Struthio camelus: one gene and its partners. The protein of the gene in region 1 purifies or fractionates together with the protein of each later gene. This does not show direct contact. Links are inferred from orthologs where the notes say so. Each region holds a gene or a part of one and is shown in the gene's direction. Other genes may lie near its edges. The genes, in order: TP53RK, NUP43, GON7 and OSGEP.

The links.
Region 2: the proteins of TP53RK (region 1) and NUP43 purify together in Homo sapiens (affinity purification with mass spectrometry; 3 studies listed by BioGRID and IntAct, counting the BioPlex papers as one, with this or other methods). This does not show direct contact. The link is inferred for Struthio camelus from reciprocal best matches to the Homo sapiens genes TP53RK and NUP43.
Region 3: the proteins of TP53RK (region 1) and GON7 purify together in Homo sapiens (affinity purification with mass spectrometry; 5 studies listed by BioGRID and IntAct, counting the BioPlex papers as one, with this or other methods). This does not show direct contact. The link is inferred for Struthio camelus from reciprocal best matches to the Homo sapiens genes TP53RK and GON7.
Region 4: the proteins of TP53RK (region 1) and OSGEP purify together in Homo sapiens (affinity purification with mass spectrometry; 5 studies listed by BioGRID and IntAct, counting the BioPlex papers as one, with this or other methods). This does not show direct contact. The link is inferred for Struthio camelus from reciprocal best matches to the Homo sapiens genes TP53RK and OSGEP.

Annotation. Positions count from the first base shown.
Region 1 is NC_090959.1:8,360,614-8,366,495, reverse strand, and holds TP53RK (EKC/KEOPS complex subunit TP53RK), read left to right. Parts: upstream 1-4,006; 5' UTR 4,007-4,041; coding exon 4,042-4,285; intron 4,286-4,758; coding exon 4,759-5,237; 3' UTR 5,238-5,380; downstream 5,381-5,882.
Region 2 is NC_090944.1:82,000,792-82,008,310, forward strand, and holds the start of NUP43 (nucleoporin Nup43), read left to right. Parts: upstream 1-4,507; 5' UTR 4,508-6,682; coding exon 6,683-6,949; intron 6,950-7,519. UniProt on the Homo sapiens protein: Component of the Nup107-160 subcomplex of the nuclear pore complex (NPC). The Nup107-160 subcomplex is required for the assembly of a functional NPC.
Region 3 is NC_090946.1:66,327,033-66,333,114, reverse strand, and holds GON7 (EKC/KEOPS complex subunit GON7), read left to right. Parts: upstream 1-4,634; 5' UTR 4,635-4,668; coding exon 4,669-4,867; intron 4,868-5,044; coding exon 5,045-5,169; 3' UTR 5,170-5,555; downstream 5,556-6,082. Other genes in the region: putative E3 ubiquitin-protein ligase UBR7, read right to left, coding at 783-878, 2,529-2,589, 3,792-3,925, 4,112-4,285. UniProt on the Homo sapiens protein: Component of the EKC/KEOPS complex that is required for the formation of a threonylcarbamoyl group on adenosine at position 37 (t(6)A37) in tRNAs that read codons beginning with adenine.
Region 4 is NC_090970.1:842,187-849,470, reverse strand, and holds the start of OSGEP (tRNA N6-adenosine threonylcarbamoyltransferase), read left to right. Parts: upstream 1-4,262; 5' UTR 4,263-4,339; coding exon 4,340-4,454; intron 4,455-5,053; coding exon 5,054-5,173; intron 5,174-6,814; coding exon 6,815-6,990; intron 6,991-7,084; coding exon 7,085-7,180; intron 7,181-7,284. Other genes in the region: DNA repair nuclease/redox regulator APEX1, read right to left, coding at 1,156-1,322, 3,505-3,574. UniProt on the Homo sapiens protein: Component of the EKC/KEOPS complex that is required for the formation of a threonylcarbamoyl group on adenosine at position 37 (t(6)A37) in tRNAs that read codons beginning with adenine.

The DNA of each region.
Region 1 (5,882 bases):
TCTGCGTGATCGGCGGCGCTGGGCGAAACGCCCTTCCCGCTGCCCTCCTGCATCTGAGTCCGGAGCTGTGTGCGCAAATACTCAGGCTTAGATTTGCCTGCACAGACTGATAAAGTTCCATCAAAGAGCTCGGGCATGGCTACACTTGTAATTGTTCTGAAAATGTGGATGCAGCAGGGTACAGCCTGTGTTGCTGGGATGGCAGCTCTGTCCCCAGGCTCTGCCTGTATGTTACTTTAGCGGGGGGCAGGAATCACCTCTCCCCACTGACCCCGGACCCGATCCTGACACAGAGTTTTACTCCTCTAGACTGGAAACCTTTGGAAAGCCCACAAGAGGCTGGCTGATAGTTTATGACAGTTTTTTGGTGGCTCAGCTGGGAAGCCGAAGAATACCCACTAGGAAGGATCGATCATTTCAAGCCTAAAAAAGGGCAGCATGACTGAGTTTGAACTCTTCTTTTCTAGTGGACAATCACTGCTGTGGGTGCAGTGCCGGCACACCCCTCCAACGCAAACAAAAGTAAACGTGTTGGGTGAAGAAGGAAGGGTGCATGTGATATTTTTAAAAGAGCTTTTCAACTTTCATTCCGCATGTTAACTGAATGGGCAGTTTAAGAGAAATATTTGAAGACTCATTCTTCTGGCATGTAGGGATGGGGTACATGCCATGGCTCTGCTCTGGAGCTCAGCGGTGCTACCTCTTTCTTTGCTGCAGCTCATAGCTTTGGGGTGCTTGAGACTGGCAATACTGGATGGTGTGTGTCCTTTCAGCCTTAGGCTGGAGGATATCTGCTCTGCAATATGGACAGCAGTTGATCAAAAGGTTTGGTTTTGTTTCTTCTCAAAGACATGGTATATATTAAGAGTGTTTCAAATCATCTATGTATTTTACAGATTAAATAAATGCTTCCTATTCATATCCCTCCGTTTCAATGGTAATACAGTATGTAAAAAATACCGCTTCTAAAACCTTGTATCTAATATAAACTCGCAGCTGCACAGGGATCATACGGTAGGTGAAGAATGGCTTCAGACGTGAAGACTTTCAACAGAAACTAATGGTGTTTCAGGAAGGAGCTTTTCAATAGAGTTTGTAATTAATATTAAAGTAGTTTAAATAGATCTGAAATCATGGTTAGCTCTCATGACACTCAGAGGGAGGAAAGGCTTGCCGTCTTCTCTCTTCCCACAGACTCTACCTATGAGGCCGGCTTGCAGTGGCCAGAAGACATTACAGGTCTGTATCTTGGCCTCATATTCCAAGTTTTGAGAGCACAGCAGTTTGGGGTACAGCATGTCCTGGCCCATGATCTCTGGCCTCCCAAATTCAGGTAAGGGCTCTCTTTGGTTTGTAACTCCTCCCCGGAGCACAAGCCTAGACATTTTGGGTGCACAACGGTGTGAGCTGGAAGAGGTGGCACCTGCGCTTGACTCCTCTGCCACATGAAGCAAGGAGCCAGAGACCACCGGATGCTGGCGGAGGGCAGCTACAGCCCTCAGCATCACTGGGTAAGTATATGGCTTGCCCACATAGCCTACGTTTTATCTGAGCAGTTCCTGCATGTTTTACTAGAATGCTTCTCAAATGATTGTGGGGTGAGAAGGAAAATTCTCCATGCTCACTCTGCATACGTGTATCTGCAAGCATGAAGCCACCCCTTACGTTTCCTGGTGGCTTCCTGTTCTCTGGCTAGTAAATGTTATCAGCAAAGACGGCAAGGAGGTGAGGTCCTGGGGAATACAGCAAAGCTTTATGGCATGTTTACAAAAGGCAGCCGAAAAGATTACACTAGGACGTACCGAAATATAGCTGCCCTCGGCACTGCGTCTGGCTCCGGGTTATGGCCCTCCGACACGGGACCGTGGAAAACTCTTACAATGCACAGCGGGGGTAATTTTGAAAAAGGTCTTGCTTTGCAGTTGTGTAGGTAACATCTGTCTTGCTAACTGTACGGTTTGCAGTTAATGCATGCTCTGGGCCGGGTGAAGCGAGCAGCTTGGCTCTTTGGGCTCTGATCTCGGCCCTCGGAGGAGCTGCAGCGCCCGAGCGAGCCGGGCGCTGAGCCGTGGCCGCTCCCAGACACGGGCGGCTCGTGCTTCTCCTCTGCTGCGCGTCTCCAGCCCTGATGCTTTCCATGCGCTCTCGGCACTCGTGTCTCAGCAGGGCCATGTCTCCTTCGGAGCCGTGTCGTGCTCTTGGCTTCTGGTTTTGGATGCGTGAGGGAACCATCCTGCTTCGAACTGAACCAAACACCGGGCACTAGCCGCAAGGACGTGTGTGCTGGAGGGCTCAGCGCCTGAAGCGGCAGCCTGCGCTTGGCAGCACGGCCTGGACTGAAGGTGCTCTGCGCGGCTCAGTGAGGAACGAAGATGTGACTCTGTACCGCCGGGCTGGAGCAGCTCAAAGAGACTTTAAAATCAGAAATGAAAATATAGATATGGGAGGAAACAGGTGTCCACCTTAGAAGAAGGAAGACACCGCGTTCAGCAACGCTAGTCACATGCTTGAGCACGTTCTCTCTAACTAGAACTCACCCTCCAGAAGGGATTCAGAAGACTAAACGGACCAAGCTCAATTCACTTATTGATGAACATTATAGCACATGAGTGGGTGCGAGGGTTGTAGCTAGGTAGGGTGAAGCCAGCTCAGTGGACACCTGCATTTACAGTGTGCTGATTTACAGCTGAGAGCGCTGGTTCGTATTAGGCTCGTCTGTTCTCGTTTTTCTTTTATGCTAACCTGTGCGCATCCTTCCAGTCAGCAAAGATAAGGGCATTTTCACAGCTTCCTCCTTTCCTTCCCTACCGCCTTCACTAACGGGTCATAAACCTCCATTCGTCCCGCGGGTGTCGCAGCCGTCTCACCCCCAGTGCCGTCACGGCAGCCGGCGGGGCTCAGGTTCGCGGGGCGCAGGCGGGGGTGCTCCGGGCGCTCGCCGGGTCCCCCGCACGTCCGAGGGGCACCGTCCCGGCTCAGCCTTGCGGCGACGCCTGGCGCATCCCGGGCCCCCGCACCCCCGGCTGCCGGATCAGGATTGCTTTCCCTTGAGCTGGCTTTGCTGCGTTGCAATTTTAAACTCAGTTATATTGTTTACGAAAGGAGGGTTTGTAAACGCTTGTCGCCAGGAGAACAAAGTTACATAATTAAACGGTTTACCAGGGAGTCTGGGGCTTCAGGGAAATTCTCTGGGGTGATTCAGAGGTCCAATAAAAATACTGGGCGATACCATAAATATTGTGAATGGCTCCAGATGGTTTCCAAGGGCTATGTCAACCGCTTACCGCACTGAAAGCGCAAAAGAATAAATCGAATCACAGGGAAGATAGTACTTGAATAAATAAAATATTGGGAAAAATAAAACAAAAATATTTTCTTTTGTATTTTGAAAACTCGGGAGGATGATTTTGGCCAGCGTGAGAGAAGAGTGTCCTGTTCGTTGTTACCAAAACAACGAACCGAAGGCATCTGGGTGCACTCGCTCGTGAGCCGCGTGCAAGTCTGCGGGGGCTGTGCACGGCTGCTCAGATAAAACCTGCCCACAAGGCAGGGAAAACGTGTTTTCTGCTTATTTGACTACTTGCGGTGTTGGGAAATGCCAAACACGGAGCCGCAGAAGGCGCCCGTTTGCCGGCAGGTTGCACCGGCCGCGACGCTGCGGCGAGCCGCTGCCAGGGCGGCTGCGGCGAGAGGGCGAGCGCTCGCTAGGGCACCCCGCGAACACACCGAACCTGGAAGAGAAACAAACGCTGCGGGCGGGAAAACAAAAGACAAAACGCGCTTCTGGCCACCTCCAAGGGCAAGGGCAGCTGAGCAATACTAACGTGCGCTGGGCGGACGGCTCTGCTGCCGCCGGGGCGGCGGGTGCCGCTCCCCTCACCCGGGGGCGCGCTGTGGCGGGGGCGCCGGCGGCCGGCGAGCGCTGCAGGCGAGGGGGGGGGGCGCTCGGCTGTTTCCGCCGCGGCCGCCGAAGGTTCCCGAGGCGGCGCCGCGCCTGCGCAGTGCGGGGTGTGCGGGGAGGGCGGGGCGCAGAGCTCTGTCATGGCGGAGGCGGCGGCGGCCGGGAGGGAGGCGGAGGAGGAGGTGGCGGCGCTGCCGCTGCCGGGGCTGCGGCTGGTGCAGCAGGGCGCCGAGGCGTGCGTGTACCGCGGCCGCTTCCTGGGGCGGGACGCGGTGGCCAAGCTCCGCTTGCCCAAGCGGTACCGTCACCCGGCGCTGGAGGAGCGGCTGAGCCGGCGGCGGACGGCGCAGGAGGCCCGGTCGCTGCTGCGCTGCCGGCGGGCAGGTGGGGCCGGGGGCGGCGGGCCGGGCCGGGCCGAGCCGAGCCGAGCCGACAGGCCCCCCTCGGCCCTGGCCGCCGCTCTGGGGACGGGCCCCTGCGCCCCCCCGGCCCCCGGGGCTCGGCCTCTCCTGAGGGCGCGCGGCGGCTCTGCCCCGCCGCCTTTCCGGGGCTCCCGCCTAAGCGCAGCCCGGCCTAGGCCCAGCGCAGGCTTTGCAGCCGCCGAGGGCCGCGGTGGCCGGCGCCGTGGTCGGGCTGGGGCTCCCGAGGGGATTTAAGGACGGAGGCGAGGGCAGCGTGGCCTGGGAGGTGGGGTTTGGCAGAGGAGGGCCCTAGAAGTGGGTTATCGGTGGCCAGGGGTGATCTGAATCTGGCGTTTTTCGGTTAAGGGTCGCGTTGACTGTGTTTTGTTGTTCTAATAAAGTTGGAAGTTCCTATAAGTTAACACTTAACGTTTAATTTGTCCTTTTTTTAAATAGGGATTCCTGCACCGGTGGTCTACTTTGTGGATTATGTCACCAACTGCATATATCTTGAAGATATCGTAGACTCGGTTACAGTTCGAGATCATATTGCTTCTGTACAGCAATGTGGAAATGATTCCAGTAGCCTCCTTCCCCTAGCAGAGAAGTTAGGTGAGCTCTTGGCAAGAATGCACGATGAAGACCTTATACATGGGGATCTTACAACTTGTAATATTCTTCTGCGACCACCCATGGAGAAGCTGGACTTGGTGTTGATAGACTTTGGACTCAGTTTTGTTTCAGGTCTTCCTGAGGATAAAGGAGTTGATTTGTATGTTCTGGAAAAGGCCTTTCTTAGTACTCATCCCGATACAGAAACTGTGTTCCAAACTCTACTGAAGACTTACGCAGCTACATCCAAAAAATCTGGTCCTGTTGTCAAAAAGCTGGATGAAGTACGGTTAAGGGGAAGAAAGAGATCCATGGTTGGCTAGAAAAGAGCAGGCTTAGTGATGGAGAAATATTACTACTTAGGTTCTGCATATATGTTTATTTGTACTTCCAGTTGGTTTTATTTCACATATCGCTATTTTGATAAGTCTGTGTCTTAAATAAATTTACTACAGTGTGGCAATAATCTTTGTGTAGTTCTTAGCAGAGTCATACAGTAACCAAAGTAATTATGTGAGATGAGAGCACAGGCAAGAAAGAAACAGCTAAAGGTTACTTCTTTTTTTTAAAGGTTAAATATTTCTTTTAAAAAGTAGCTTTCAATGTCATTCTACTGGCCCTCTTTTGTGTAGATAGAATCATACTGAGTATCTTTTTAGCCTGTGGACTGTAGATTTGTGGCAGGTAAAAGGGACCTGGAGATACCAAGACATCTACAGAAGGTAACTAGAGAAAAAGAAGCCTGTTCTTTTTCTCAGAAGACTTACTGTGAAGCTTAGCTTTAAATTCATTATAAATGACTCTCTACCTCCTCCTGAAACTTCTCAGGAGGACTGTGAATTCCAAGACATGGACAACAGCTGAAATGGAGATAAAAATAAGACAGGTCCATTTTTTTCAGTAGTAATTTTGGCTTTTGTAACTTTTGATATTCTTTCATTAAGCAAATATAGAAATAATAAAACAAG
Region 2 (7,519 bases), on another chromosome or scaffold:
CTCTCACATTTATGCCCCCTTCTGGTCTCTGTGAGTGAACTTTCTCAGGCAGTCACACACCGGAGACTGCAATTTTGCCGTGCTCTGAACCAGGTGCAACACTATAGTTGCATCATCTACCTATTACCAGACAACAGTTTCCAGTCTACCCTCTTGAAACATGAGAATAGTGATGTGTAACTATAAAAACTCTGGCCATGTCAATAATATGTAGTATGAAACATTAGAGAAAAGTAGTATTTCAAGCTACCTATGTGCATACTTAGACTTGTCCTGTGCTTTTTAGGGAGATTTCCAGTCGACTTCTTTCCTGACTTACTGTACAAGAAAAATCCATTGATACTGTCATAGTGAGCCCCCAGGCTTTCAGTGTTCATTCAGTTTATCTTCTGAAGAATGTTTTCCCCTTCTCAAGAAAATTCTCTTTTGGAATCACTTTCTGTATTCAGTACAATTACTGCACAGTTACAGCTATAACTGTGATAACTTCATGTCTTGGGTAAGATCTTCAGCCAAACTCTAGAACTCTCCTGAAAAATAAGAAATGAGTTAAGGTACCTGCCCAGGCCACCTGAACTCTTTCCCCAGTGACTCACAGTAGCCAAACCAATTGCAGTGCTCCAAGCACATGTAGCTGGTATCGAGGGTGAGTGTTTCAGCTGAAACAGCTTGGTAGAGCTGTAATAGAGATTTGCAGCAATCTGGGAAGGCAAATGCAAGGCATTTTAAGCATAAAAGATGAGCTTCTCCACTTGATACTGGTGTGAAAGGAGGGCCAGGGTAGCTTGTAAAATCCGAAATAGCAAATGTCTAAACTACACTTGCATAAGTTATCTGAGCAATAAGGTAAAGGGGTCCTCTTACCAAAGAGATTGTAAGAGGGAGTGGTATATTATCTTTAGGATTACTGATGAGCAAAATCCTAGAATACAGATGATATAATGTGCTGATGTGGAAAATTATCATCAAATTAAATATTGTATATAGGGGTTCATTAACAGCTAGAAAGCTATGCACTTAATATGCTGTCATGGCCAGATAAAAATAACGCAGCTTATATCCTTTCAGTGAAGGAGAGTGAGAACAACATATCCTCCGACAGATATAAATTCAAAGATTGTATTGTTCCTTAAAGACATTCCTGAGGGCTGCTGTAATGCAGATGTCTTCCTTGGTACAAGTCCAGCTATGATCTTCAGGGCAACTGCAGCTTCCTCAGATGTATCCAAATGATCTCAGGCTTAGGATGCTCCCTGCAGTAGGTATGTCCTTTGAGATCCCAAAAGTCTCTTGGCCCTATAATACTCTCTTTGGCCTTACCCCAGCTGCACATGTACAGCCCTGTTACCTGCCACAAGGCAGATAATGGATTCCAAGAGCTCAATCACAAACTCTTTTTGCCACTAAAAGAGTCTACCGCTTAGTGGTAAATTTGCCGCTAAGGAGAGCAAGCAGCACAATGGTCTCAGCAGGGCTGGTCAGCCACCTTGTTTGGGGAATCATGGTTCCAACGTCACAGGCGGTAAGAGATACGTCTCAGCAACCCGTGGATGTATTAAAGTGTAACCATGTTTCTGGAGGTCGCCATCCTGTCACAGCGGCTTCTGAAAACAGCTGTGCGCCTAGTAATGGGACTACATCTTTCTGCAGAAGACTAAGAGCAGCTAAATTCAACATCAAAGGACACATGCAGCCTGTATGGAAGATACAGATAATATCTTCTGTGAGAGAATCCATCCTGGGAGAGATAAGCCTCTTCCAACTGCTCACCACACACATGCTTCATCTCATGATTGTTAGTCGCAGTGAAGGGAATAAGGCGGAGGTGGGAATCTGCTTTTCCAGCTAGGACCTTATCTAGAGCAAATCTGGCAGTTGTCCCATATACACACCAGCTCCCATCCACAGACTTCCCAGACCTCTTCCATCTGGTTCTTCTAATCGTGGAGACTGATCCCCTGCTTCATTCTGTATTCTCTATCCATTTTCTCCCAAGCATGATTTGGGGGCTACTCTATGTTCCATGCGAGATTCCCAGCCTGTCCCACCATACATAGAGGTCTTTCCTCTGGTATCTAGGGGGCCAGGAGAGAAGGAAGGAAGTCATGGAGTTAAAGGAATTCCCAAAGGCCAGCAAGCACAGAGAATAAGCAGACATTGTAAAAACACACAAAAATACTTAATAGTTTTAAATGCAAAAGACATCTTCTGTTGTCAGATGCAAGCAAACTGCATTACTCCCACATAGAGAGGCTGCTGGCAATAAATGAGTTGGCCTATACTTAAAAGCATTCCAGGGATACTTACCCATTGGGAGACCAAAACACAAGAGAAAACATTTACATACAAACTGACTCTTCTTACCAGGACCAGCTCAAATTAGAATGAAGCCTGTCACAGAGCACAGAGAAAAAGCCCACCTTTGTTTGCTAGGAACATGCAGAATTGCGCAAAAGCTTTCAAACCAGTTGTGCCACTGGCTGCCTATTGGCTATGTTCTTGGCATGACTGTTCAGAGAGAGAGAAGAACACAAGCATGGGCCATCCAAAATGAAATCTGGGGTAGCTTGGATGGTTACCAGGCACCTGTGAAATAAATGGTGTTTGGCTCTGCTGGTTCCTAGGAGCTTTAAGACAAGTCAATTTGCCGTAAAGGCACCTGAGAAACTGAAGCACACCAATAGCATCAGGATGCACCCATCTGTGCAATAAACAAACATGAAGGTCACTAACTCTTTCTGCTCTATGACCCTAGGCCGTGAGTCCCCTTTTTAACTTATTAAAAACATCTGTAGTAAGATAATCCTCTGAAAAAACCACAAACATTCTGTGCTATGTTGGAAGACAAACTTTAAAAAGAGATGTTTTTTAGATACGTTTAGTTCCGTGAAACCTCTCTATCTGCTCTTACACCCAGCATTTCTTTATCTTCTTCCCCTCACCTGTGCAAGCCAGTTTGAGTGCCTTGGTTCCCGAGGCCCGCTGCCAATTGCAGGTACCTCCATCTTGTGTAAGTACAGCCGTCTTCATAGATTCTCCAGTACTGTGGATGTTGGTCACAAAGAGCTGGTGTGTGGACTGGCCAGTAAGGGAAGAGGCATGGGAATGCTAACAGCCAAAGCAGACAATCACTTAATTGTTTTAATGTGGTGATTCCAGTAATTTTAAGTACACAGCAGATCTCAGCTCTCTCTCTTTTTCTACACATTCACCCACATCTGAATCCCTTAGCTGTATTTATATACATTTATATGTAAACCCCTCCCTGCTACTGTTTCTGTTTAATGCTTCCCTCCCACCCCCTGAACCCATTAGAATTTTAAAATTCTTTTAATTTAAAAAGCATATGAAACTCTGGTCATCACTGCCTGATCCCATCTGCTTCTGCATATACTTTTCACAAGCAGAAATGTCCTCGTGCACTGAGCATTTCCACAGTTATGTCCCAAAGTACACACTAACCATCTTCTACACCTACACTCACTCCTCTCTGTGCCTCTGTTCTGTTTTTAACTTAATCACTCCCCTTCATTTCATCTCTTTTCCTGCAATCTCAAGCCAGCCTGGTGTGTACCTTCATTTTGTACTTCCATTTCAGAAGTTTACATCTAGGATTTTCTGAAGTCTGCATCCCCCTCTCCGCAGCTCCAGCTCCAGTGGGAGGTGAAAAGGACTCAGGCACATCAGAGTCTCTCAGTGCCAGGGAGCAGCAGGAGTGGGGCTGCTCCATGGGGGAAGAGGATGCTAGAGCCAGGGAGGATGACACCCCACCACAGGGTGCAGTCCCACAGCATCTGAGCAAGGCAAGGAGAGCCAGGGTTGAGGACAATCATGGTTCTGCCAGCACACAAAAGCAAAGTGACGAGTCAGGCCCCAAATCAAGCCAGTCACCAAGTCATGGGCACAGGTCCACAGGCCCTCCTGCAACATCACTCAGTGCAGGAGTGGGTGCCACAGGTCAGGTGGGGGTCCCAGATAGGGCTGGTCAGGGCAAGGAGCGGGTACACTCATGGCCCTGGCACTCGGCTTTTGTGTCAGCCCTGCAGCATCCTGCATATCAGCTGTGCTTGCTCAACAGACTGAACTGAGCACAACACTAGGAGTTGTGACCAGCGATAAATACAGTGTCTCCAAATAGCTTTCTTAAAGTATTGCTGAATGATAATTGGAGCAAAGTATATTAGAAGTAAACAGCATCTTCAGAAGATGCATAATTAGGTTTATCCTGCCCTTGTACAGCCACTAATCCAATAAGTCCATTCATTCCCAGGCTCTCTAACCTCTGGCAGAGAAGGGTGTTTTCCTCCCTTCCACTCACTCTCATAACTTAAGTCACATTTAAGGATAACCCTTAGAAGCTTCTTCTTGTTTCAGCTAATATATTTGGATCTAATGCCCACAGTTAGCTTTGTCTAGACTTTAAATCCCCTTTTGGCAACCTTAGAAATATTTGGTGAGTTATACTTTCTCCTCAGGCTTTGTTTCCTCCTTTTGTTTATTTAAATCTGCTATTACACTGAAACAACATATCAACACAATACATATCTTTCACAATGATCAAATATAGAGAACATAAGATATTGAAAGGTATTATAGAGCAGTCCTAAATCCATCATAGCTCCCAACTCCATCACATAGCATGCTGCCAAAATACTTCTTAAAAAGGTAAGACAGGAAAGAAAACTCAGGATTTTCTTGCCCTAACGAAAATGGCCTGTATGGCCAGCCTACTCTCCTTCATACTTTCCAAATGCTTTTGATAAATCAACCCTGTTCAAAGAATGAAACTGCCCCAGAGCAAAGGAGAAAAAATACACACAGTAAGATTATAAATTTATTTTCTTGCAGAGTAATCAGCAAACACATGTGCCTAATAAAACATTTCAGTAATTCCAAAGCGTTGTCCTGGCTCTTCCACTTTTGGTTATTTGGTCTGTAGCAGTATTCGGAGGTCACCTATTGACCCTTCTCACACCTATTACAAGAATTAGCTCAAAATATTTACCTTAGAGTTCATTGTGACTTGCACAATTGCTGCTAGTGGCTTAATACAGGGTGGCGGAGGTACTGGTTACTGTAGAATAACAATGTTACATACAGCACAGCGTAACAAAGCTGTTCTGAGGCTTACAGTATGGTAGAACACAATAGCACTCAGCCTCTTGAATAAGTTCGGTGTTGGATTCTGCAGTGCATAATTCTGAAAAAAAAGCGTTCCTCACAGTTGAGGTTCAAATGATGCATAAAGCATATAAAATAATATGACTGATTTGGTATCACATCTAAAGGTTTGCAACACTGCACGGCAGGCTTGATGAGGAACTGACAAATGCTATATAACAAGAACAGAAGACTCTGGCAGGCAAACTGCAACAATACAGGTGAATGTTCAACCATGACACTGCTGCTAATGCTAATAAGTACCCCTGACAAAACCTTGGACAGCTGATAGTAGCTTTTAAAAGATGTTGCAAAAAATAGGTTGAAAAAGAAGAAAGCTATCTATGAAAAAGTCCTTTACTTTGGAGTAGTGGTTAAATGGATAGTCCAGTCCTCTGAAATGACCTCCCTCTACAACTAACCTCTACTAACCTTTTTTTTTTTTTTTCCACACAGTCATTTAGGTCTGAAGTGAAATAGATAAAGGAAATAGGACAATATACCTGTGTTTATGCTTATTAAAGTAATATTTGGGACGAGAAGGATTTTTGCAGTTCACCACCACTAGGGATTTCACAGAGGGAAAAGAAGAGCATCACCAGTAGTGATTTAAAAACAAATCTAGAGAACAGATGATTAGTTCATATAAAAGCCATTGATACTGCTTAGTGCATTTTGAGAAAATAAATGTTGGTGATCTTGCAAAGGTTTAATGTTATGTGCTGAAGCCAGGCTGGCTGAGCCTACAAAGTACATTTGCAGACTCACTTTTCATTTTATTTCTTCTTCCAGACCCAATTTTGTAAATAATGTTTGTGCGATATATGTACCTTGACCCAATTATTGTCAGTTTTCCTGACATGAGAGTTTGTAAGAGTGAAATGTGAAAGGAAAAACAGTAAGATGCTTTTTTTCTGAGCTGGGAACATCATCAGTAGGTTGGAGGAAACACAGCATCTCTGAGGCAGGTCAATGACATTACCTGTGAGGTATAGGCAGTTCTTGGCAATGTATTTTTGGAAATGTGGAAGAAGGAGCGTGGAGACAGTGCAATTGGTGGAAGGGCGAAGGAAAGAAAGCATTCCTTGCCGAGCCGGGCCCGCTTACTGGAGGGACCTCAGGAGCGAAGAGATGGTTGTTAAGGTCACTGCCCTCGCTGGGGGATGTTTTCCTCCCTTTCTCCGTCACAGCCCAAGAGGTGGCCGCGCCGCACCGGAGCGTTTGGTTCCCGTTTTCTCAAAACGCAGAGATGCAACTCCCGCAGGCAGCTGCATAGCGCAACGAGACTCGGGCCTGGGCCGCACCCAGGTGCCTCTTTTGGGGAAGTCAGTAGCAGAGTTAAGAAACCGTTATTTCCTTCACTGTCGCTTAGTAAAGCGAAGAGAAAGGCGTCCCAGGCGCACCCGCTCCCCTTTAGCGTCCGTTAGAGCAGGCGGCCGTTACCCGTGCCGGTAACGCGACGCAACGCACCTGCGCCGCCCTGCCAGTACAAACGGCCGCGGGCCGCCCCTCCCCGCCTACTATGGCGAGCCCTGCCCCGCCTGGGCGCGCTCGCCGCCCCTCGGCAATCCTGTCCCTCCTCGCTCGCCGTCGCCGCGCGGCCACAGCCAATCAGCAGTGGCGGCGCCAGGCGCGCGGCGGGAGCCGGCGTGCGGCGGCGGCGCCGGCCATGGAGGACGTGTGTGCCAAGTTCGTGTCGCAGAAGGTCAGCAAGGCCCGCTGGCGGCCCCTGCCCGCCGCCGCGCTGCAGCCGCCCGACATCTTCGCCACCGGCTCCTGGGACAACGAGGTACCGGGCGGGCCGGGGAGCGGCGCCCCGCGCCCGGGGGCGTGGCGCGTCCTTTCCGCCGGGGCGCCGCGCCGCCCCCGCCGCAGCCCCGTTAAGCCTCTGCCGTTTGGAACGGGAGAGCGGGGCCGAGCGGGCTCCTTCGCGGCTGTGAGCGCCGAGAGCGGCGGCGGTGGGGCCGGGCTACGGGGAGGGAGGTCTGTAGGGCTGTAGGATCGCCCAGGCCGGGCGCCAGCGCAGCTCCGGGCCGCTGCGGAGACGGCCCTGCGTGTTAGGGGAGGGCGCAGCCCGAGGGGCTTGCCTCTGCTCTCTCTTACTGATGTTTGCCAGGCTTTGTTTGAAAACGGGCGTCTGCCCAAGTTTGTAGTCGAAGCTCTCTTTCCTAAGAGCTTCTGTATGTGTTTGTTTCTGCTTTATTCTTTTTCCTTAAGACTAGATGGCCTGATTTATTTTTGAAGAGAACTTATTTATTCGATGCAGCTAGTGTGCTGTGAGCGTTTGCTTTTTTTCATGTGGTAACTCCTTGAAGAGAGTGTATCAAATACATACACATATATATATATATAAAATATA
Region 3 (6,082 bases), on another chromosome or scaffold:
TGTCATCAGGTTTTATTTAGGAATGCCATATTCCTAACTTAACTGTCCATAATACAAACTTAGTACAAACTGATTTATTATGAAATAATTATTAATGATTTCTTTAGAAATATTTAGATTTCACTAAACTTGGGAGAAATTAGTTCATATTTTATAATAATACTAATACAGTCTTTTCCTATTTGGAGGATTTATGCCTTTCTTATTCTTTCTGTTCCTAACAAACTCATTTTTTAACATCTAACTTTTATAACTGCAAAGGAAAGTTTCTATGCGTAAACCAAGTGCCATGTTTTAATACTTCAGACAGAGAAACAGCATTTCCACTGATATAAAGGAAGGCTAAAGCCACTGTTAAAAGACAAAACATCCCCACCCCAGAAGCAGTCTTGTTAGAGCACTGTCACAAGCGTGAGGAAGCAGATTCTGATCTCTCATATCAAGTGACTTCTCTGTGTTCGTAGGATTTCTCAAGATAAACCCATTCCCTAAGAGAACCATATAATTCTACAGAGAGGAAAGCAGAGATGAGTGTACCACCATTTTGTCTGAATGATGGCGTGTCTTCCTCCTCTGTTTTTAAAGTATAAAGAGTTTTAACTATTTTTAAAAAGAAAGTGAGAATGTATTACTTTATATAGTGAAAGACAGTCAAAAATAATATCGATCATAAGATTTCTGAAAGTGGGATCTTCCTTAAGAAACAGCTCGAGGATCACCCTTTGCACAGTGGTTTGTATAGACACCTTCTGAACATGGTTACTGCATATTGCATTTCTTACCTCATCTTCAGGATCGGGATAAGGTCTTTTACAAGTACAGTATAATCCAAAGAAATTGTCATTATACTTATTTCCTGAATTCACTTTGCCCTTTTCCTAGAAAGAAAGGAGAAATTGTTTCAATAGGCAATGCAGTGAGAAACAGAAGACCGGAAAGATGCATACCCTAAAAAAAATTTTTACTTCCTAAAAGCGGTCATTACACTCATCAGCTTGAGCATCTGAAAACAAAGATATTACCCTGAGACCCCTATGTTATACAGTCGGCAGAAGACAGGGCACGTGAGGAGTACTGAAGTTCAAAAGGAAAGACGAAGAACAGTCTTTTCACACACAGAACAGCAAATGGCAACTATCGTGGGTTTTGTTTAAAGCTATTGCTCATCTAAAAATGCCTAAGAGCATAATATTTCTTTAACAATAACTGTTGGGAGCCAAATTTAAATTTCTTTTATATGTGCACAATTCTTTCCAGAAGGCCATTAGCCACTAAGCTTTTATTCAAACAAAATCCTTGAGGTTTGATCACCAATCATGCATGGCTGTTGCCATTGCAGCAAAGTCTGCACATTTACTGTGCACCTTCCACACGCTCTTTCTTTTTTTAAGCATCCAGACTGTGGTCCAAACTCAATTTTGTTTAATGTTATGTTTTGTTTAATGTTTAGCTTACACTAAATTAATGTCATCTAAACCTCACTCCATATGAGAGGGTGTTCCAAATTACAGAACACACTGAATGAAGTTCAGTTACAGCTAATTCCACTTCAAAAAATAACTAATACAGCTGGGGCCGGAGGACTTCAGAAGTGTATGTACTTGCAGCCTAAGACCACAGTCAGCCCTTGCAAAAACAGCTGTGACAATTTATATGCTATAAAATGCTTTTTACCACTACTCTGTTAAAAGAAGAACAGATGATATGAGCTCACTTCATCCATGAAGTCAGCCAGCTGAACATACTGATGTTGAAGGTCATTTAAACTAGCAGATTGATTTTGCACTGAAGAGAAGGAGGAGCCATATGATCCATTTCACTGACTCAAACAAGGAGCAGTAACGTCTTAGAATTGCCACACGCGACTCTGTAGGGATTACCTGACTGCAGCTCTAGGCTTACTAGCTCTGGATCAGCCCCAATTCTGCCAGGACCAAACAGGTATACACAGAACCACTTGCTGTTTCTACACTTGGAGCATTATCATCTCAGGAACAGAACTGCAGGCAAGCCAAAAAGCTTCTTTCCTCTGTCTGCTTTCCAGAACATTACCAAATACTTAATGAGTCCAAACTGCCCACTGAGCATGAAACTACAGGGAGCTTAATACAGTAAAAAACTACTCCTTCAGAAGACTCCAGTGACAGCCTATCAAGAAAGATTAGCGCACTAACGCTGCCACAGGAAAGGGGATGGAAATGTTCCTTCAGCACAATCTGAAGTTTCCTTAAAGCAACTGTAAAATCATACCCCAAAAAGATTCTCCTGAAGCCAGCTTAGAGATAGCAAGAGTTATCAATACAGGCATCACAACCTGCTAAAGCATTTTCGCTGTTTCAAACATTGAGCTAGCTATGTATGCTAGCAGCTGCATCCAAGAGTGACAAAGCTCAAACGTTGCCCCTCATTTAACTTGCAGGGAGAAGAAGAGGCACAATATGAGTCAGCACTCTCTAAGGCAAGATACCACAACCTTCTAAAACTGTTATTTTGATTCTGTATGTCTAAAAACCTGTATCTGAACTTACTGGAAGTAACTTGCACTGCAAATTTTTGAATTTGCTATTTCCACAGTCACAGCGGAAGTTCCTGGAAAGAAAAACAAAGCATTTCAGATTGATTATCTAAAAATGCATTAACTTTTGTATTTGCAACAATTCCCAACAGTTTATTAGGAACCATAAAAATATTCTTGCAGCTATTTAAACAATAGCATCTGTTAGAACTGGCCAAAGAGCCTTGCGGCCTTACCCTCTCATGCTGTGTTTCTGGCAGATCTCAGCTAACATCATCATTTACAACAGCATTTGGCTGAGAGACCTCAATAGAACAGCTAACTGAGGGTGCTGCAACTACCACATTCAAAAAGGCAAGCATGTGTATTGGCAAAAGCGTGTAAATTGGTTCATCTCCAAAGGCTAGGCTAGATCAACACAGACGATTAAGCTCTTATCTCCTATTCAGGACCCTAAATTCTCACTAAAATAGCACGGGACACTTGGATAGCTAAAGAGAATGGAGGAACGTGACTACTTAATTAACCTGACCTAAGTTTCCGGCCCAGTTTTGCAAACTTCCATACTACTGGAAACACGGTATCTTAGCATGAGTTGCACATCTAAACATTGTCCTGCTTTGGTCCATTAAAACCCATCTTAAATTTTTTTTTTTATATATAGCAGAGGACGCTGTGGGAAAATTGTTCTCTGGACAATTAATCTAGATACCAAAATTCTTCAAGGAGTTTCGAAGTACTCAGACCATTAAGGAAAACACGAGAGGGGAGGACAATTATTAGTTGAAATCACTGTGTTTCAGTACCCTGTTAAAGAAAATGCTGTATTTCACGTCAGAGATGCTTGTGTTGCACTAAATAATTGCATGAACCTTAAATGATTACCTGATTTGCAAGCGAAATTGCAAGGATAAGCCTTAGCATTTAAAAAGCAATTGTGGCAAGCACATTCAGTAGTTCCCAAGAAAACCCACGGGATGAACTCTGGAAACCAAAAACTTCGTAGATTCGAAAAGACGCAATACCCCTAGTTCTTACGGTACTGCTTCCACAGGGGGAGACTCAAATTGCTCTGTGCCTCTCAGCGTTACTTTTTATTTCCCTGTTGCAAGCAGCCTGTGTGTACTTCAGGGCACAAGATGGACACAGGTGTTTGTTAAGAGGAGGACGCACTCGACGTCTGCGGAGGCGCTACGCTCGCTGTTCTGCCGTCCCGCTTCGCGGTTTGGCCGAAGCCCCGGCAGCAGCGCTCCTCCAGCTGCGGGTCGCACGTTACCTCTTGGTGTACAGCTCGAACAGCTTGTGCGTGCCGTGGCACTCGTAGCTGCAGGCCAGGCAGATGCCCGCCGGCTCCTCGCCCGGCGGGGTGCAGGTGCTGCAGGCGTACAGCGCCTGCCTCTTCACGGCGCCCTGCAACGAAACGGCGCGCGTGGGCACGGCGGCGCCGGGCCGGGCCGGGCCGGGCCGCTGCGGGCGGCGAGCCCCGCGCAGCCCGGCCGCCCCCCGCCCCCCGCCCGGGGGTCCCTCGCGGCCCCGCCCCGCCCCGCCGCGAGGCGCCAGGTGCGCGCGCCCGGCCCGGCCCGGCCCCGCCCCCACCTGGGAGTAGCTGCATCGCTCGTGGTCGCTGCCCCCCAGCACGGCCCGCGCCTCCTTCTCGAGCTCCTCGTTCTCCGCCAACACCTCCGCCAGGGACACCACGGGCTCCTCCGGGCCCCCCGCCCCGCCGCTCCCGGGCTCGGCGCCCTCCTCCGCCGCCGCCGCCGCCTCCATCGCCGCCGCCGAGGGCCGAGCCAAGCCGAGGCGGGAAAAACGCGTCTCGGGCGCCAGGGGGCGCCGCGGCGGAAGCGGAACCGCAACCGCAACGGCGCGCGCGGCCCACGTGACGCGCGCGGCGGCGAGTCACAAAGAGGCGGGGGGGGGGGGGCGGAGGCAGCTGCCGCCGCGCGGCGCTGTGTTGTGGCACGCGGCCTGCGTGAGCGGCGCTGTGGGGCGGGGCTTGCGCGCGCGATGCGCGGCCTCGCGGGCGGGTTGCGAGCGCTTCCGGGTCAGCCCGCGCGGGCTGCGGATTGGGTGGCGGCGATGCCCGTCACGGCCCCTTGCCCGCCCTCCCCCTCCCCCTCCCCCCCTCCGGCGGCGGCGGCGGCAGCAGCGGGATGGAGCTGCGCGCGGAGCTGACGGGCCGCGACGGGCGGACGTGGCCGCTGCGGGTGCGCTGCGAGGCGGAGGCGGGCGCGGGCGGCGAGCTGCGGGGGCTGCTGCGGGGGCTCGAGAAGCTGCAGGAGCAGGTCGCGGAGCTGCTGGGGCCTCTGGTGCAGGAGGAGAGAGAGGCGGGGGGCCGCGGCGGGCCGCGCGGTGAGTGGCGGGCGGCCGTTGGGCGCGTGCCGCGGGGCGGGGCGGGGGCGCGCGGCGAGCCGGGCGCCGCGCGCCCCCTCTGCCTCAGCGCCCTCCCTCTGGGCAGCCGTGTGCTACTGGAGGGGGGCTGTGTGCCTTTTTCAACACCTCATCCGCTGTCTGCTTGAACCCTGGTAGGTGATGTTGGGGAAGAGGAGGAGGAGGAGGAGGAAGGAGATGAAGATGAAGATGAAAACAACGTTGACGTGAAAGCAAATGCAGATGGCCCACCTCTAAAACGGACAAAAGTTCAGCAGTCCTGACTATGGCGTGAAAGACTGTATTTAGGCCTAAAAAAGAGACTTTACAGCAGTATTGAATGTAAGTGTTCTTTTGGAGGGTGGTACCTCGGGGGTGGGCAGACTGTTCTTGCAAGGCAGGTGTCAGCGTTTTTCTTCCTTTTGCTCATGTTTTAAAAATGAAATGTAGATCACTGTCACTATTTCAATATAAGAAGCCTAATAAAAGGGTGTGTATTAGCATTAGCAATGTGCTTTTTACAGGAAGCGAATATTAGGCTGAAAAGATTGAGAATTTTCAGTAAACCAGGTGACAGATATGAAACACTTTTAATGGCTTCTCCTGATCACAGTATTTCTTCATATGACTTAAAACCAAACTATTTTAAAATAAAATAATAAAATATGAAGCCCGTTATTTTGTCAGCTATGGTTTTTAAATGGTATAAGACAAAGAAATCATTTGTATGGAGAGAGAATAGTGTAAGATCACTTGAGTATTCAAAATAAGTTACAAACACTTGCACAGATGTGACTGTCTGTTCCTGAACGAGCCTAAAAGATGGCAGATTGTTTCTGCGTATAATATAAAAGGTTTATTTTAGTCACCCATCACTGAAGTACTTTCCTGGTAAAGGTCATAGAAGAAGTAGATTGAAAGAGCTGGAAATCTTAGTCTCCAAACATTTTGAATTTTTATGATAGCCAGGAAGCTGACAAGTCAATGCGACTTGGATAATTATCTTTTATATCATTATACAAGTAAAACATAGCTGTCTATCCTAGTCATCTGTTTCTTCCAAACAATCTTTGTTTTTTCAAGAACCATTTAATCTTTATATACCTTTTTCATCACTGACTTTTAACCAGTTTGATTTTTAGGCCGATTCAGCAGCTAAGTCAAATAAAGTGAACGTCACAGCCTTATTAATCTGCC
Region 4 (7,284 bases), on another chromosome or scaffold:
GCGGGACGCCTGGGTCCGTCAGGTCTTCGAGGGCCGGCGTTTCGGGTCTCCCCCGGACGCCTGGGCCCCTTCCCCGGAGACCTGGGTCCCCTCATCCGGACGCCTGGGCCCCTCCCCGGACGCCTGGGCCCCTTCCCGGACACCTGGGCCCCTCCCCGGACGCCTGGGCCCCTTCCCCGGACGCCTGGGCCCCTCCCTGGACGCCTGGGTCCCTTCCCGGACACCTGGGCCCCTTCCCCGGACACCTGGGCCCCTTCCCCCGGACGCCTGGGTCCCTTCCCGGACGCCTGGGTCCCTTCCCCAGACGCCTGGGTCCCTTCCCCAGACGCCTGGGTCCCTTCCCCGGACACCTGGGCCCCTCCCGGACGCCTGGGCCCCCTCCCCGGATGCCTGGGCCCCTTCCCCCGGACGCCTGGGCCCCTCCCCGGACGCCTGGGCCCCCCCCGGACACCTGGGCCCCTTCCCCGGACACCTGGGCCCCTCCCCCGGGCGCCTGGGCCCCTTCCCTGGACGCTGGGGCCCCTCCCGGACGCCTGGGCCCCCTCCCGGACGCCGGGGCCCCTCCCGGACGCCTGGGCCCCCTCCCAGACGCCTGGGCCCCTCCCGGACGCCGGGGCCCCTCCCCGGACGCCTGGGCCCCTTCCCTGGACGCCTGGGCCCCTTCCCGGACGCCTGGGCCCCTTCCCCGGACGCCTGGGCCCCCTCCCGGACGCCTGGGTCCCTCCCCCGGACACCTGGGCCCCTCCCCGGACACCTGGGCCCCTCCCCGGACACCTGGGCCCCTCCCCGGACGCCTGGGCCCCTTCCCCGGACGCCTGGGCCCCCTCCCCGGACACCTGGGCCCCCTCCCCGGACGCCTGGGCCCCTTCCCCGGACACCTGGGCCCCCTCCCCGGACGCCGGGGCCCCTCCCCGGACACCTGGGCCCCTCCCCGGACGCCTGGGCCCCTTCCCCGGACACCTGGGCCCCCTCCCCGGACGCCGGGGCCCCTTCCCCGGACACCTGGGCCCCCTCCCCGGACGCCTGGGCCCCTCCCGGACACCTGGGCCCCCTCCCCGGACGCCTGGGCCCCTCCCGGACACCTGGGTCCCCTTCCCCCGGACCCCTGGGCCCCCCCCCGGACGCCGGGGCCCCTCCCGGACGCCGGGGCCCCACCTGCAGGCCCTGCTTGCGCACCCAGGCGCGGAGGCCGTCGACGTTCCAGGACGTCACCTTGAGGGTGAAGCGCTGCCCCCCCGGCGCCGTCAGCCGGTCGGGGGGGTCCTCGTAGGGGGCCGCCGCCGCCCCCCCGTCGCCCCGCGCCGCCTTCGGGGGGCGCCCGCCTGCCGGGGGGGGCGCGCCGCCGTCACTGGGGGGCACTGGGAGGGACTGGGGGGGCACTGGGGGGCACTGGGAGGGCGCTGGGGGGCACTGGGAGGCACTGGGAGGGATTGGAAGGGCACTGGGGGGCACTGGGAGGGACTGGGGGGGCACTGGGAGGGATTGGAAGGGCGCTGGGGGGCACTGGGGGGCACTGGGAGGGATTGGAAGGGCACTGGGGGGCACTGGGAGGGACTGGGGGGGCACTGGGAGGGATTGGGAGGGCGCTGGGGGGCACTGGGAGGCACTGGGAGGGATTGGAAGGGCACTGGGGGGCACTGGGAGGGACTGGGGGGTACTGGGAGGGATTGGGAGGGCGCTGGGGGGCACTGGGAGGCACTGGGAGGGATTGGAAGGGCACTGGGGGGCACTGGGAGGGACTGGGGGGTACTGGGAGGGATTGGGAGGGCGCTGGGGGGCACTGGGAGGCACTGGGAGGGACTGGGAGGGATTGGAAGGGCACTGGGGGGCACTGGGAGGGACTGGGGGGTACTGGGAGGGATTGGGAGGGCGCTGGGGGGCACTGGGAGGCACTGGGGGGCACTGGGAGGGACTGGGAGGCACTGGGAGGGATTGGAAGGGCACTGGGAGGGCACTAGGAGGGACTGGGAGGGACTGGGAAGCACGGGGAGAGACTAGAAGGGATTGTAAGGGCACTGGGAGGGCACTGGGAGGGACTGGGAGGGACTGGGAGGGACTGGGGGGCTACTGGGGGCACTGGGAGAGCATGGGGGGCTACTGGGAGCACTGGGGGGGCTACTGGGAGCACTGGGAGAGCACTGGGGGCACTGGGAGAGCACTGGGAGGTACTGGGAGGCAGTGGGGGGTACTGGGAGCACTGGGAGAGCACTGGGAGGGACTGGGGGGCTACTGGGGGGACTGGGAGGTACTGGGAGGCACTGGGGGGGCTACTGGGGGCACTGGTAGAGCACTGGGAGGCACAGGGAGGCAGTGGGGGGCTACTGGGGGCACTGGGAGAGCACTGGGAGACAGTGGGGGGCAGTGGGGGGGCTACTGGGAGCACTGGGAGGCTACTGGGGGCACTGGGAGGCTACTGGGGGCTACTGGGAGGCACTGGGGGGGCTACTGGGAGCACTGGGAGAGCACTGGGAGGGACTGGGGGTGCTACTGGGAGCACTGGGAGAGCACGGGGGCTACTGGGAGGCAGTGGGGGGCTACTGGGAGCACTGGGAGAGCACTAGGAGGTACTGGGAGGCACTGGGAGCACTGGGAGGCACTGGGAGAAAACTGGGAGGCACTGGGAGAGCACTGGGGGCTACTGGGAGCACTGGGAGGCACTGGGAGAGCACTGGGGGCTACAGGGAGAGCACTGGGAGCACTGGGAGAAAACTGGGAGGCACTGGGAGAGCACTGGGAGGCACTGGGGGGGCTACTGGGAGCACTGGGAGGCACTGGGAGGCACTGGGAGGCACTGGGAGAGCACGGGGAGGCACTGGGGGGGGCTACTGGGAGCACTGGGAGAGCACTGGGAGACAGTGGGGGGCTACTGGGGGCACTGGGAGAGCACTGTGAGGGACTGGGAGGCACTGGGAGGGACTGGGGGGGCTACTGGGAGCACTGGGAGAGCACGGGGGCCTACTGGGAGCACTGGGGGGGCTACTGGGAGCACTGGGAGAGCACTGGGAGGGACTGGGAGGGACTGGGGGGGCTACTGGGGGCACTGGGAGGGACTGGGAGGTACTGGGAGGCACTGGGGGGGCTACTGGGAGTACTGGGAGCACTGGGAGAGCACTGGGAGGCACTGGGGGGGCTACTGGGAGCACTGGGAGAGCACTGGGAGGTACTGGGGGCACTGGGGGGGCTACTGGGAGCACTGGGAGAGCACGGGGGGCTACTGGGAGTACTGGGAGGAACTGGGAGGTACTGGGAGGCACTGGGAGGGCTACTGGGAGCACTGGGAGAGCACTGGGAGGCACTGGGGGGCTACTGGGAGCACTGGGAGAGCACTGGGAGGCACTGGGGCCACTGGGGGGGCTACTGGGAGCACTGGGAGGGGGGTGGGGGGGCACTGGGATATCGTGGGGGGGGCAGTGGGCGGGGTTACGGGCCGGCGCCGGCCTGTGCCGGGCCGTACTGGTCCATACTGGTCCGTACTGGTTTATACTGGTCTATACTGGTCCCTACCGGTCTCCGCCGCCGCCTCCTCGCCGCCATCTCCGTCCGCCGCCGCCTCCTTCTTGCTGCGCTTCGGCATGGCCGCCGCCAGGCCCCGCCCCCTCCGCCCCAGGCCCCGCCCCCACATCCGCAGCCAATCAGCGCCCGCCGCCGCAGCCAATCAGCGCGCGCCGCCGGCCGCTGCTCCCTCCTCCTCCTCCCCCCGCCCACCCCCGCCCCGCTCCAGCCAATCAGCGCGCACCGCCGGCCGCTGCTCCCTCCTCCGCCTCCCCCCGCCCACCCCCGCCCCGCTCCAGCCAATCAGCGCGCACCGCCGGCCGCTGCTCCCTCCTCCGCCTCCCCCCGCCCACCCCCGCCCCGCTCCAGCCAATCAGCGCGCGCCGCCGGCCGCTGCTCCCTCCTCCTCCTCCCCCCGCCCACCCCCGCCCCGCTCCAGCCAATCAGCGCGCGCCGCCGGCCGCTGCTCCCTCCTCCTCCTCCCCCCGCCCACCCCCGCCCCGCTCCAGCCAATCAGCGCGCACCGCCGGCCGCTGCTCCCTCCTCCTCCTCCCCCCGCCCCCCTCCGCCCCGCTCCAGCCAATCAGCGCGCGCCGCCGGCCGCTGCTCCCTCCTCCTCCTCCCCCCGCCCACCCCCGCCCCGCTCCAGCCAATCCGCGCGCGCCGCCGCTTCCCCCTCCCCGCGCGCCGCTTCCCCAACCAATCAGCGCGCGCCGGATCTACGTGAGCGGAAGGGGCGGGACCCGCGGGGGCCGGAAGCGGAAGTAGGAAGCGGCGGCGGCGGCGGCGGCGGCGCGGGGAGAGGAGCGCGGGCAGTGACGCGGGCGGTGACGCGGGCGGTGACGTCATGCCGGTGGTGCTGGGGCTGGAGGGCTCGGCCAACAAGGTGGGGGCGGGGCTGGTGCGCGACGGGGCGGTGCTGAGCAACCCGCGCGCCACCTACGTCACCGCGCCCGGCCACGGTGAGCGCCCGCGTCACTTCCGCCCTCCTCCCCCTTCCCCGCGCGCGCCGTGACGTCACTTCCGCCCTTCCCCCCCTCCTCCACGAGCTCACCGCTCTTTGACGTCACGGCCTTCCCTCCCCCCCCCACCCCAGTGACGTCACCGCTCGGGGGGGGTGAGGGCAGCGCTGACCCTCGCGTGACCCCTGACCCCCCGTGACCCCCGGGTGACCCCTGACCTCCCCCCGTGACCACTGACCCCCCTGGGTGACCCCTGAATGACCGCTGACCTCCCCCCGTGACCCCTGACCCCCCTGGTGACCTCCGAATGACCCCTGACCCCCCCCGTGACCCCTGACCCCAGGTGACCTCTGAATGACCCCTGACCCCCCCGGTTGACCCCTGACCCCCCCCGGGTGACCCCTGAATGACCCCTGACCTCCCTCTGTGACCCCCGTGACCCCGAGGCGACCCCCGACCCCCCCCGGGTGACCCCTGAATGACCCCCGACCTCCCCCCGTGACCCCTGACCCCCCCGGGCGACCCCCTCCCGCTCCCCCCCCTCCGCGTGACCCCGCCGTGACCCCCGACCCCTGGGTGACCCCCCCCCCCCCGCGCAGGCTTCGCCCCGGGGGCGGCGGCGCGGCACCACCGGCGGCGGCTGCCGGGGCTGGTGGCGGCGGCGCTGCGGGAGGCCGGGCTGCGGGCGGCCGACGTCGACGCCGTGGCCTTCACCCGCGGTGCGTGTCCTTGGCGTGCGCTTAGCGTGTGCTTAGCGTGTGCGTGCCGTGTGCGTCCCCGGGGCCCTGGGAGCACTCGGAGACGTGTCCTGGGTGGGTGGGAGTCATTGGGGGTCATGTAGGCCCGATCGGGGTCGCGTGTGCTTAGCGTGTGCTTAGCGTGTGCTTAGCGTGTGCGTGCCGTGTGCGTCCCCGGGGCCCTGGGAGCACTTGGAGACGTGTCCCGGGTGGGGGGGAGGTGGGTGGGAGTCACTGGGGGTCATGTAGGCCCAATCGGGGTCGTGTGTGCTTAGCGTGTGCTTAGCGTGTGCACTCAGCACTCCTCGTGGGGGCCATATTAGTGGTTATAGCCACATCCCAAGCGCACGGGAGGCGCGTGGGGGTCGTGGGGGGCCCCAGAGGCGTGATAGGGTTCACATGTGCTTAGCATGTGCTTAGCGTGTGCGCTCAGCACTCCTCCCAGGGGCCTTATCGATGGTTATAGCCGCATCCCAAGCGCACGGGAGGCGCGTGGGGGTCGTGGGGGGCCCCAGAGGCGTGATAGGGTTCACATGTGCTTAGCATGTGCTTAGCGTGTGCGCTCAGCACTCCTCGTGGGGGCCATATTAGTGGCTATAGCCGCGTCCCAAGCGCACGGGAGGCGCGTGGGGGTCGTGGGGGGCCCCAGAGGCGTGATAGTGTTCACATGTACTTAGCATGTGCTTAGCGTGTGCGCTCAGCACTCCTCCCAGGGGCCTTATCGGTGGCTATAGCCGCATCCCAAGCGCACGGGAGGCGCGTGGGGGTCGTGGGGGGCCCCAGAGGTGTGATAGGGTTCACATGTGCTTAGCATGTGCTTAGCGTGTGCGCTCAGCACTCCTCGTGGGGGCCATATTAGTGGTTATAGCCACGTCCCAAGTGCACGGGAGGCGCGTGGGGGTCGTGGGGGGCCCCAGAGGCGCGATAGGGTTCACATGTGCTTAGCATGTGCTTAGCGTGTGCGCTCAGCACTCCTCGTGGAGGCCATATTAGTGGCTATAGCCGCGTCCCAAGCGCACGGGAGGCGCGTGGGGGTCGTGGGGGGCCCCAGAGGCGCGATAGGGCTCACGTGTGCTTAGCATGTGCTTAGCGTGTGCGCTCAGCACTCCTCGTGGGGGCCATATTAGTGGTTATAGCCACGTCCCAAGCGCACGGGAGGCGCGTGGGGGTCGTGGGGGGCCCCAGAGGCGTGATAGGGTTCACATGTGCTTAGCATGTGCTTAGCGTGTGTGCTCCGCACTCCTCCTAGGGGCCTTATCGGTGGTTATAGCCGCATCCCAAGCGCACGGGACGGGCGTGGGGGTCATGGGGGGCCCCAGAGGCTCGATAGGGCTCACATGTGCTTAGCATGTGCTTAGCGTGTGCGCTCAGCACTCCTCGTGGGGGCCATATTAGTGGCTATAGCCGCATCCCAAGCGCACGGGAGGCGCGTGGGGGTCGTGGGGGGCCCCAGAGGCGTGATAGGGTTCACATGTGCTTAGCATGTGCTTAGCGTGTGCGCTCAGCACTCCTCCCAGGGGCCTTATCGGTGGTTATAGCCGCGTCCCAAGCGCACGGGAGGCGCGTGGGGGTCATGGGGGGGCACGAGGGGGCTGACGTGTGCTTAGCGTGCGCGGGGCGCAGGGCCGGGCATGGGGGCGCCGCTGGCGGTGGTGGCGGCGGCGGCCCGGACGCTGGCGCAGCTGTGGGACCGGCCGCTGCTGGGGGTGAACCACTGCGTGGGGCACATCGAGATGGGGCGGCTGGTGTGCGGGGCCCGCGACCCCCTCGTGCTCTACGTCAGCGGCGGCAACACGCAGGTACACGGCTCGGGGCGACACGCGTGTTCGGGGGGGGGGGGGACACGGAGCCCCCGGGCCGAACGCTGAACTCTCGCTCTCCGTCTGCCGGCAGGTGATCGCCTTCGCCCGGCGCCGCTACCGCATCCTGGGCGAGACCTTGGACGTGGCCGTGGGCAACTGCCTGGACCGCTTCGCTCGCGCCCTGCAGGTGCCCGGACGCCTGGGCCCCCTGGACCGGACGCCTGGGTTCCTGCCCCGGATACCTGGGTTCCTGCCCCGGACGCCTGGGTCCCTGCCCCGGACACCTGGGTT